Caenorhabditis elegans: one gene and its partner. The protein of the gene in region 2 interacts with the protein of the main gene of each other region in a pairwise test. Each region holds a gene or a part of one and is shown on either strand. Other genes may lie near its edges.

Region 1 (5,329 bases), on a different chromosome or scaffold from region 2:
GGCACTTGAAGATGAGTACATCCCGAGTAACATTGGAGAAGATCTTGGAGGGGTACGTTAGATATATGATATATTTATACATATATGTAGAGTTTAAACCTAATTTCAACACCTAAATATTTCAGGCTAAAGCTGCATTAGAAGGTATGCATAATCCAGTTGCTTCTCGCCTTCAAAGATCTTTTCTCAATACATGTGAAGATATGCACACAACTATCAAATTAAGATTCTAATTTTTTTGTTTCAGAATATTTAGACGTTGTTTTTTGTTCATCTAGGCTCCTTATTTTTTAGGCTCCTTATTTATTAATTTGTTCTTTTTTTTTTCAAATTTGTAGTAGCTCCCCGAATTGTTTGTCCCCATCTCTAAACATAATCATTTGAGTTCATCATCGTTGGATCTCTACAGATCAATCTTTCGCCTTTTCTTTCTTCCCCCGATGACGTTTTTCTTCCTCCAAAATACCGATTTCAACTGTTTTTATTTCGCCCTCTCACTATGTTCATGTTTTTGAAAGAATAAATTGCTCTCTGACTTTTTTTTTTTTTCTTGCTAACTGTGTCCCCAACCATCCTTTGTCCCCTGTTCCCTCTTCATTCTATTTCAACGAGCGGTCACCGATGTGACCAATAAGCGCAAAGGCACTAAGAAATTGGGAAAATTGAGAGAGGGTTGCGCCATGAAGAGACGCAAAGATTAACACAAGGGCACATTTACCTTTATTCTACCTACATCTATCCCCCAACACAACGGACACTATTTTATATCGGTTGCAGGGCGTGGGGAAAGGTCACCACCAACACTGCCCCAGTCTGATGTGATTCCATCCGGGTTTCGCAAATACTTTTTCAATTTCACGTTATTCAACATTTTTATGATAGAAATTCATTTTGAGCAAATGACATAAACAACATGAGATCATAGTGACAATGTTTTCAAATCCATATATTTTTTCGAGATGATTAAAGGTGGAGTAGTGCCAGTGGGGAAAGTGTTAAAAACTATTCCTATGGTGCCAAAAAGACCGAATATCATAATTAAACCTTTCAAAATTTTTTTTGAAATTTTTTATTTTATGTCAAAGAGTGGCAACTATTATATGTGTATTTAAACAAAATTCCCACTGGCGCTACAGTACTCTGCCTTTAAATGGAGTATTGCCAGTGGGAATTTCTACTCGAAAAGTCCATGAACGAATATCATAATAAAAACTTCGATTAAAAAAAAAAGTTTTGAATAGTTTTAGTAAAGTGACAAATTTTCGTGAAATCTGGAATTTTTTGGACAATTCACTACAATGTTGAAATAGAAATATTCGAAAAATAATTAAAATGTAATATATATGGAAATCTTCTCTGATCAGAAAAGAAAATAACATTTTGGCATTCTTCCAAAATGTGAGAACTTGCCACGTTTTGTCTGGAACATCCCTCATCCCAACTCAAATTGTTCAATTAAAAAGAACGGTGTCATGTCATGAAAAAAGAATTTAAAAGTGCAAACAAAAGAACGATTCATTTTTGTTTTCTTTGTGTTCATCTTCATTTTCTCAGTCTCTCTTTACCTCCTCCGCCTTCCCTGTTATCACTTATCATCTCATCATTTCCTTTACTCAAACATTCACTTTTAGCCTTGTTTCTCTCTTTCTCTCATTCATTTTCCGCTCAGTTTACCCACTTTTTTTGTTTCTGTTACCTGTTACTATTTCTTATCGCGCAAAACAAAAATCGATAATAATTATTGAATTAGTTTTTTTGAAATGAGAGCAAAATTTCAGTCAAAATGAACGGATTACTGCATATGCATGGTCCAGCTGTCAAAAAGCTTTTAGGTTGGAAAATTGGAGAAGACGAAGAAAAATGGTGTGAGAAGGCTGTTGAGGCATTGGTGAAAAAATTAAAAAAGAAAAATAATGGATGTGGTTAGTCAAATATATTTTTTAAAGGAATTTATAATAATTTAGGGAGGGACATTTCTGAAAAAGGGTCTCGACGCGCTTATGAAAGTTTCAAAACTATTTTTGTGATTACCTTTAAATTTACAGTAGAAATATTTGAGCCTCCTTCCTCTTAGTCTAATTTTTCTTACGATTTCTTATGATTTTCATTTTTTTTAACTTGCAAAAAACTATAAAAACAGTAAGAAGAAAGCACCAAAAAACAAACTTAACATTTTCGAATGTATTCGAAAATACTATTGGCGCGGCGAGACCCATCCGAATGTTAAGCATATTGTTACGGATACAATATAATATTATGATTAACATTTTCCGATGACCCTTTTCGATTCATGAATCAAAGTGCACCTTATTTATAAGTTAGATCATAAATATTAAAAAAAAAGAAATTCAACCGATCCATTTCAAATTCTAAATTCCAGGAACCCTCGAAGATCTGGAATGTGTTCTAGCAAACCCATGTACAAACTCAAGATGCATTACGATAGCAAAAAGTTTAGACGGTCGGTTACAGGTATGTGGCGCCGTTGTGGTTGCTTAACGTAAATTTGTTCGCTAATCAGACAACTGTGATAACTTTCAAAAATAACACTTTGGTTTGAAATAACGACTTTTTGACGCCAAACTTCCGGCTTTTCAGGTATCCCATAAGAAAGGTCTTCCACATGTGATTTACTGTCGAGTATGGCGGTGGCCGGATATAAGTTCTCCTCATGTAAGTTAATTGGATATATTAATTTGAAATTTTTGAATGTTCATTTCAGGAATTACGTTCAATTGATACATGCTCCTACCCATATGAATCTAGTTCCAAAACCATGTACATCTGCATTAATCCATATCACTATCAGAGGTTTGTTCTGAAAGTTGTTTAAAATTGGAATACATTTCAAAAATGAATAAAATTCCAGATTATCACGACCACAAGGCTTAAATTCTTCAATGCCATCACCACAACCAATATCATCTCCAAACAGTAAGCGTTGGATCTAAAAATTGTTTAAACATATCAGAATCTTCTATTAAAAAAAAACAACTAAACTCTCTTTAAAATTCTCTAGGGAAATTAAATGAAAAATACATAAAATTGCAGCTATCTGGCAGTCTAGTGGAAGCTCAACGGCATCTTGTGCAAGCTCGCCGAGCCCGTCGGTTTTTTCAGAAGATGGAGGAGAAGTGGTTAGTTTTTTTGCAATACACATTTTTGCAAAAATTATAATTTTCAGCAAGTTCACCAGCGACCTCCACCGTTCCGTCATCCCAAATCCTGGGCCCAAATTACGTATTTTGAGTTGAATTCGAGAGTTGGAGAAGTTTTTAAAGTGAGGTTTTGATTTTTCAAAACAAAACAAAATTGGAGTTTCAGCTAGTGAATCTGAGCATTACAGTCGACGGATATACTAATCCATCAAATTCAAATACAAGGTAAGATTTTGAAAGACATTCGAAAGTAGAAATAAATTGATTTTAAAAGTGAAAAAACCAAAAAATAATTAGTTTTTTTCGATTTCGGTCGGACTTCTAAAAAATGTTCTTACAAAATATAAATATTATTAGTTTGATTTAAATTTCCTCCATTAATACGGTATAATACATATCTTCTCTATAATATTATCATAGTTATTAAAAAGTGGACACTTCGAGTTAATTAACGTGAAAATTGCTGATTCGAAGCTTTAACTTCGAGAAGTTCTGAATAATAATAATTCTTACCGGTTTCTTTATTAAAATAATCCGGAAATTTCAGAATATGTCTTGGACAATTAACCAATGTGAATCGAAATGGAACAATTGAGAACACACGGATGCATATTGGAAAAGGAATTCAGCTTGATAATAAAGAAGATCAAATGCATATTATGATTACAAATAACTCTGATATGCCAGTTTTTGTGCAATCCAAAAATACGAATCTCATGATGAACATGCCACTGGTCAAAGTCTGCCGAATACCACCGCACAGTCAATTATGCGTTTTTGAGTTTAATTTATTTTTTCAAGTGAGGTTTTTAAAATTTAAAATTATTTTCATGCTATTCTTCAACAATTGTCAAAAATTAAGATGTTGGAACAGTCGTGCAACGATAGCGATGGATTGAATGAACTCTCCAAACACTGTTTTATTCGTATTTCTTTTGTAAAGGTTTGTTCTAAATGTTTGAATTCCTTGTAGATTTATACTTGTTAAATTTATCGTGAGATTTTCAAATGAAACTTCGATAAACAAATTTTCAGGGCTGGGGAGAAGATTATCCACGTCAAGACGTCACATCCACGCCTTGCTGGCTTGAACTTCGGCTCAATGTGCCACTGGCTGTAAGTTTTTTTGAGAAGGAATCGTATCTGGAAATTTATCAAATTATCAAAAATATTCTATAAAATTTTTGTACATTTTGTAAATATCATCCAAAATTAAGCCATATTTCTATTTTGGGTACTTTTCCGATTTCTGCCCCCCCAATTTTTTAAGTTCAATATTTCAATTTCAATTCTCACGTGAATGTTTATTTCAATACTAAATAACAAAAAAGTTAACGTTTCATTAATGAATATATCGAAAACATTTTGGGGGCAGAAATCGGAAAAGTACCCTATTTTGTTTGAGTTTTCTGTGAAAATGAAATATTTTCAGTATATCGATCAAAAAATGAAGCAAACTCCAAGGACGAACTTGATGGAACCAAATTCAATGACATAATGATTTGTTAAAAACGCTTTCCTTCTCGCAACCACCTGAATTCAGAATTTACCTACTCTAATGATGATACTTGTAACATGTTTTACATTTGCTGGTTCTTTTTAATTATGAAGATTTCTTTTAATGTTGTCATGTTCTTCGAACATTTACTTAACGAAATTCTCAGAATGATTTCGCAGTTTTTTTCGGTCACGACAAAAACGCCCCCTAATTCTTGGGATTTTTAATTGTTTACTCTGAAAATATGCTCGAAAATTTTGAGCAAATGATTATTTATAACAAATCCAATACGTAAAATTAACTATTAGATCCATTCTGGGAAACGTCCACAGACAGCTCCATAGTTCCAGAGATCGGATGCACCTTCATTTTCTGGATGCTTTACATAGTTGCAGAAGACGTCATTGATCAGCTCACTGCGAGCAGGGAATTGAGAAATTGAGAGTTGAAGGCAAGATTCAATGCTTCTGGAAATCATATTTAAAAAAAAACAACTTGCAACTGTAACTAACTTTTCAAAGATGGTCTGTCCTGGTTCAGTTGCAGACCAGCTTTTCCACATGAAAGTATTATCAGTATGCTTCTCATCAGTAGTGAAACCAGATGATGAATTCCTGCATTCTACAGTAGCCAAAACGGTTTTATCTGTAGTCTCGCAGTTCTTCAAACGATG
Region 2 (4,299 bases):
AGTTTCTAGCAACTAATTGTGCAATGAGAATAGGTCCCCTTACGTTGACTGCAAATGTTCTATCAATTGATTGTTGAGTAATTTGTCCAATTGCATGATTTGTTGCAATTCCAGCATTATTTACAAGACCATGAATTGGGAAATGTGGTACGATAAGTTTGAAAAGGACCTCTTCATTGGCACTCACATCTCCAACAATTGGAATTATTGTATATCTCTGAAATATTAATTTAATCAGATTGGTGTAATATTTTATATTTTCACTTACCAAAGAAGTAGTCTCTTTGACAAGACTCAACAAATTTGCTTCATTTCTCGCGAATGCAATAACCTGCGCTCCAGCTTTGGCCAACGAAAGGCAGATTTCTTTTCCAATTCCTGCAAATGTGATAAATTGTGATGTATGATTCACAATCACCCCATCGGAAGTCTTCATGAACGATTTTTATTCTATTTTTAGCTTTGTTCGCGTAATATATTTTTTACCGACTAGGAAGGATGTACTCTTGTTTTCAATGCCAGAAATTTCCTCAAACATAATCGTAAAATAATTATAATTTTCAAACGGAATGATAAAATGTTGATGATACAACAAATTTTTGATTAAAGATTATAGTGTTATCATATTATCGTATATCAACGTTTTCCTCTCCATTTGAACTAGATCATAATTACACCGGAAGTAATCAGAGAGACCATCGGTCTTTTATCACATTGGCCTAAATTTGAAATGTTAAATTAATATGGATTAAACATTTTGAAAACTTAAAAAGTACAAATCTTCATGAGATTTCAGAAAACTGATTCAGTGGCTCCAAATGTTTAATGGTTTTTTTTAATTGAGCAGATAATTTTTAACATTTCCTTACTTCAAACTACAAATAAACTTATACTAGACCAGGGAAAACCTGGTCAACTTCAATTCAAACCTTGCAAACATATCTAAACTCAAAACATAGAACAATCGTCGGAAAAGAGATTTGACGTTTTCCGTGAAGTTTTCAACTATAGGTCAAAAGTTGGGCAATAAGTTGGCACCAACTCCGAGTGGTACAAAAACTTATCTCAACATAACTTTCTGTCTAAATATCAAGTCTATTTCCTGTAGTGAGCTATCTCAATTTCATATTTGTTAAATGGAACCCAAAACAAGTGTATTTGGTTTGTATTGAAACAACCCATCTTAACTTTTTCAACATCTCAAGACTTACCTTGACTTGCTCCTGTGACAAGTATACGTTTGTCAGTGAAATCGTAATTGGCGGGCATTGTTTCGTCAGATGATATGAATATCAGAAAATGTGTAGTATCTACCCCATTCTACCCAACACGATCAACTTTTATATTGTGACTATTTTTGTTATCAATGCCATTCCTCTAACAATCTGCGTCCAATTGTGTATTGATGATCGTCATAATGGTTTCTATTTCGAGATCGACAGGGAAAACCCTTTCATTTTGCAAAGTATGTAACAATGAAACTATTGAGCACCGAAACAATGTACACAATTTTCTTTAAAACGCTCGTTTCAAAAAATAGTATATCATAAGCAGCAAAATCGAGTACTTTGTTTTTGCTGCTTATGATATATATTAGAGGATGAGTTCAAGAGCAAAAATGATCCCAAAAGTTCAAAGACTTGCAAAATATCATACTTTCCTGGTAGTTTCAGGTACCATCAAACGTATATGTCCCACTTAACATTAAGCTCAACCTTCCGTAAAAAGTTTGTTTTGGCTAGCTTCGTTAGTGTCTCCGTCTTAATTTTTTTTACATCAACAACCAATTTCAATATCACAAGATCTGCGTCCAAGAACAGCTGAAACTTCGTGACGAGTAACCATAGCAACATGGCATTTCACCTGTTCAATCTAGCCACTCAACTCGCCACATTTCTTATTCTCAATCTCAGCTTCAATAAAATCCCAACTATTGAAGTGATATAAAGATCGTGTAACCATGTCGACGGACATGGACCCAGTCCCGGGTCTTCCTTTACTTACCACTCTTTTTTGTAATTCAACAACTGTGAAGAAAAAAGTGAAGATAAGCTGTGATTTTCCTGATGAACTCTACACAAAGAAAGCATTTTACGGAGGACCAATTGGAGCTGGACTCTCCGCAATTGAAGTTTCAATCATCGCAGTTTTCTTTCTGCTTTCTTTGAAAATGAAGCGTGATATCACGAAGGTCTTTCTGACTATTGTCTACATTCCACTTGGACTGTCATCTCTGTTCAAGATTGCACTGGCTATCTACAGTATCATGCTTGGAGCTTATGGATGGTGGTACATGGTTTTTCTGATGTTCTTCAACTGGTTTTACACTACAGCAGTCCTCACTACATCCATTGGATCTGTGATTTTTCTCTCGGCGTTGATTGTAATTGCAAGGAAAAGACAAAACTTTAATCCTTGTGATTCATGGTAAGAAAATGGTTAGAATGACACAGCAAAAATCTTGAATAACATTTTTTGTTAAATGAATAGTTGATGCCTCCGATATTTTCCAGGACATCTTACTTTGCTGTGCTCTTCTTTGCTGCTATACTCTCTGGTTCATATCATTTCATCGCATCCCAATGGAACCCACTTCCTGCTTCTGCACTGTTTTTTACCTACCTTTTGTGCACAGTGGGAATCATTGCCGAGCTTCTAGTGGTAATCTATTTTTGATCTCTAAAGGTGGACATCAGTGCCCAGTTATACATTAGTGAGGTATTAAACAAAGTGTGAAAAAATCCAAAGAATAGTAGAAAATTTAACCGAAGCCAACAAGTGGTGTGATCCTATTTAAAGATCGTTTTCAGTGTAATTGTTTTGCACTTTACTTCTACACCCCTACACATATCTATTGACAGTAATTCAACAATTCCACCTTCAAATGAAATTTAAATATAGAAAATCAAAAATGTTTTCCAGTGCTTGTGTGTTGGATTAATGTGCAAACCAAAACCAGCAGCCGGAACAAACATGGCAGTTCTGACTGGTGATCCAGTTGTCGATGATGCACGTAGCCGTCTTGGTTTTGGAGCAGCTGCTGTAATTGTAATGAATATTCCTCAATGGTTTGAGTTTTGTAAGTTTTTGCAACTGAATTGAATTTTAATTGGTTTTATCGTATTCTTTTCAGATGTGAAAATCGCCGAACTTTTCGCGCCATACCTTTGGAACTCGGACGATGAAAAAACTGTATACTACACTGCACTGGCAATTCAACTTCTGACATTTGACACTGTTCGTTTGTTCATGAGCCTGTTCATGCTAGTTGCCTTCTTCCTAACCGTTTCATCAAGATTTGCCATTGATCAATGGATTCGTCGTCAACATCACCCAACTGGAAATCCAACCGCCACACAGAACAAGGTCTTCATCGCAACCCAAAATCAACCATTGCTAATGGATACCGGAGAGAAAAAGAGTCCACCACCACCAACACCTCCAAATCCTCCAGTTAATCATGCTATTGCTCCAGTCGCTCAACATCCTCAACCCATGCCAATTCCCCACCAAGTACCTTCGCCAGCTCATGGTGCAGCTCATGGTCATCCACAAGCTCCACCAATGTATCCTGGAATCGGATTCGCTCCTGGTATGCTTCAACTTCCACAAAACATGCAAACAACAATTGTCTATACTCCATCAATGGCATATGATAACGGACATCCTGCAGCTCAAGTGAACTAAGAGCTTAAGAGTTTTAAGTTAATTTGAATTTTTCATTTTCACTAAATAAACTCCCTGTTAACAAATTTCAAAAGTTAAAATGAAAAACAACTCCGGTAAATGCATAATTACGACAGTAAAGTTATGATTTAGAACTCATTATAACTGTTTATTATGTGTGTTTAGCTTTTTTTTTAATTAGTAAAAACTAACCCTGTTTAATGCTCTCCCTAAGTATCACTTAACATACGCCAAAAGTACTCAATTTCCTAGAAAGGTCAAAATGCGGAAAAAGAAAAGTACACATTTCTCAGTGTACACTCACTTTTGCTACCTATTGCAACATGCTGGCACCGCTTAGCTAGCGGTTTTCCTCACCTCCGTGTTGATAAACAAAGAGTGCAGAGACAGTGGTCAGTACCTGGGGGGCAGTAACTAGGTACTTCCCCCCGTACTTCCTTAACCTACAAGATGGAAAAATGAAAGAGATGAGTGAAATTGAAATCTGAGAGAGTAAATGAAAGTAAGAGAGAGTGATCGAGCAAACAATGGACGCGCCAGTCGCGGCCGCGGCCATGGCTCTCTCAAGTACAGTGAGGATTACTGTCCATTCGAAACGAGAGAGGTGCTTTC

The links. The genes of interacting proteins can lie anywhere in the genome.
Region 1: the proteins of xbx-9 (region 2) and sma-3 interact in a two-hybrid assay, tested with the Caenorhabditis elegans proteins (one large-scale study listed by BioGRID).

Annotation. Positions count from the first base shown.
Region 1 is NC_003281.10:6,860,418-6,865,746, reverse strand, and holds sma-3 (Dwarfin sma-3), read left to right. Parts: upstream 1-1,778; 5' UTR 1,779-1,783; coding exon 1,784-1,922; intron 1,923-2,380; coding exon 2,381-2,472; intron 2,473-2,598; coding exon 2,599-2,673; intron 2,674-2,722; coding exon 2,723-2,811; intron 2,812-2,869; coding exon 2,870-2,934; intron 2,935-3,051; coding exon 3,052-3,137; intron 3,138-3,184; coding exon 3,185-3,280; intron 3,281-3,324; coding exon 3,325-3,383; intron 3,384-3,705; coding exon 3,706-3,958; intron 3,959-4,020; coding exon 4,021-4,101; intron 4,102-4,193; coding exon 4,194-4,274; intron 4,275-4,590; coding exon 4,591-4,656; 3' UTR 4,657-4,773; downstream 4,774-5,329. Other genes in the region: cra-1 (N-terminal acetyltransferase B complex subunit NAA25 homolog), read left to right, coding at 1-52, 126-233. UniProt on the Caenorhabditis elegans protein: Involved in TGF-beta pathway. Plays a role in male tail tip morphogenesis.
Region 2 is NC_003283.11:12,732,293-12,736,591, forward strand, and holds xbx-9 (XK-related protein), read left to right. Parts: upstream 1-1,890; 5' UTR 1,891-1,960; coding exon 1,961-2,427; intron 2,428-2,513; coding exon 2,514-2,661; intron 2,662-2,922; coding exon 2,923-3,079; intron 3,080-3,133; coding exon 3,134-3,687; 3' UTR 3,688-3,749; downstream 3,750-4,299. Other genes in the region: dhs-21 (L-xylulose reductase), read right to left, coding at 1-217, 269-378, 1,212-1,269.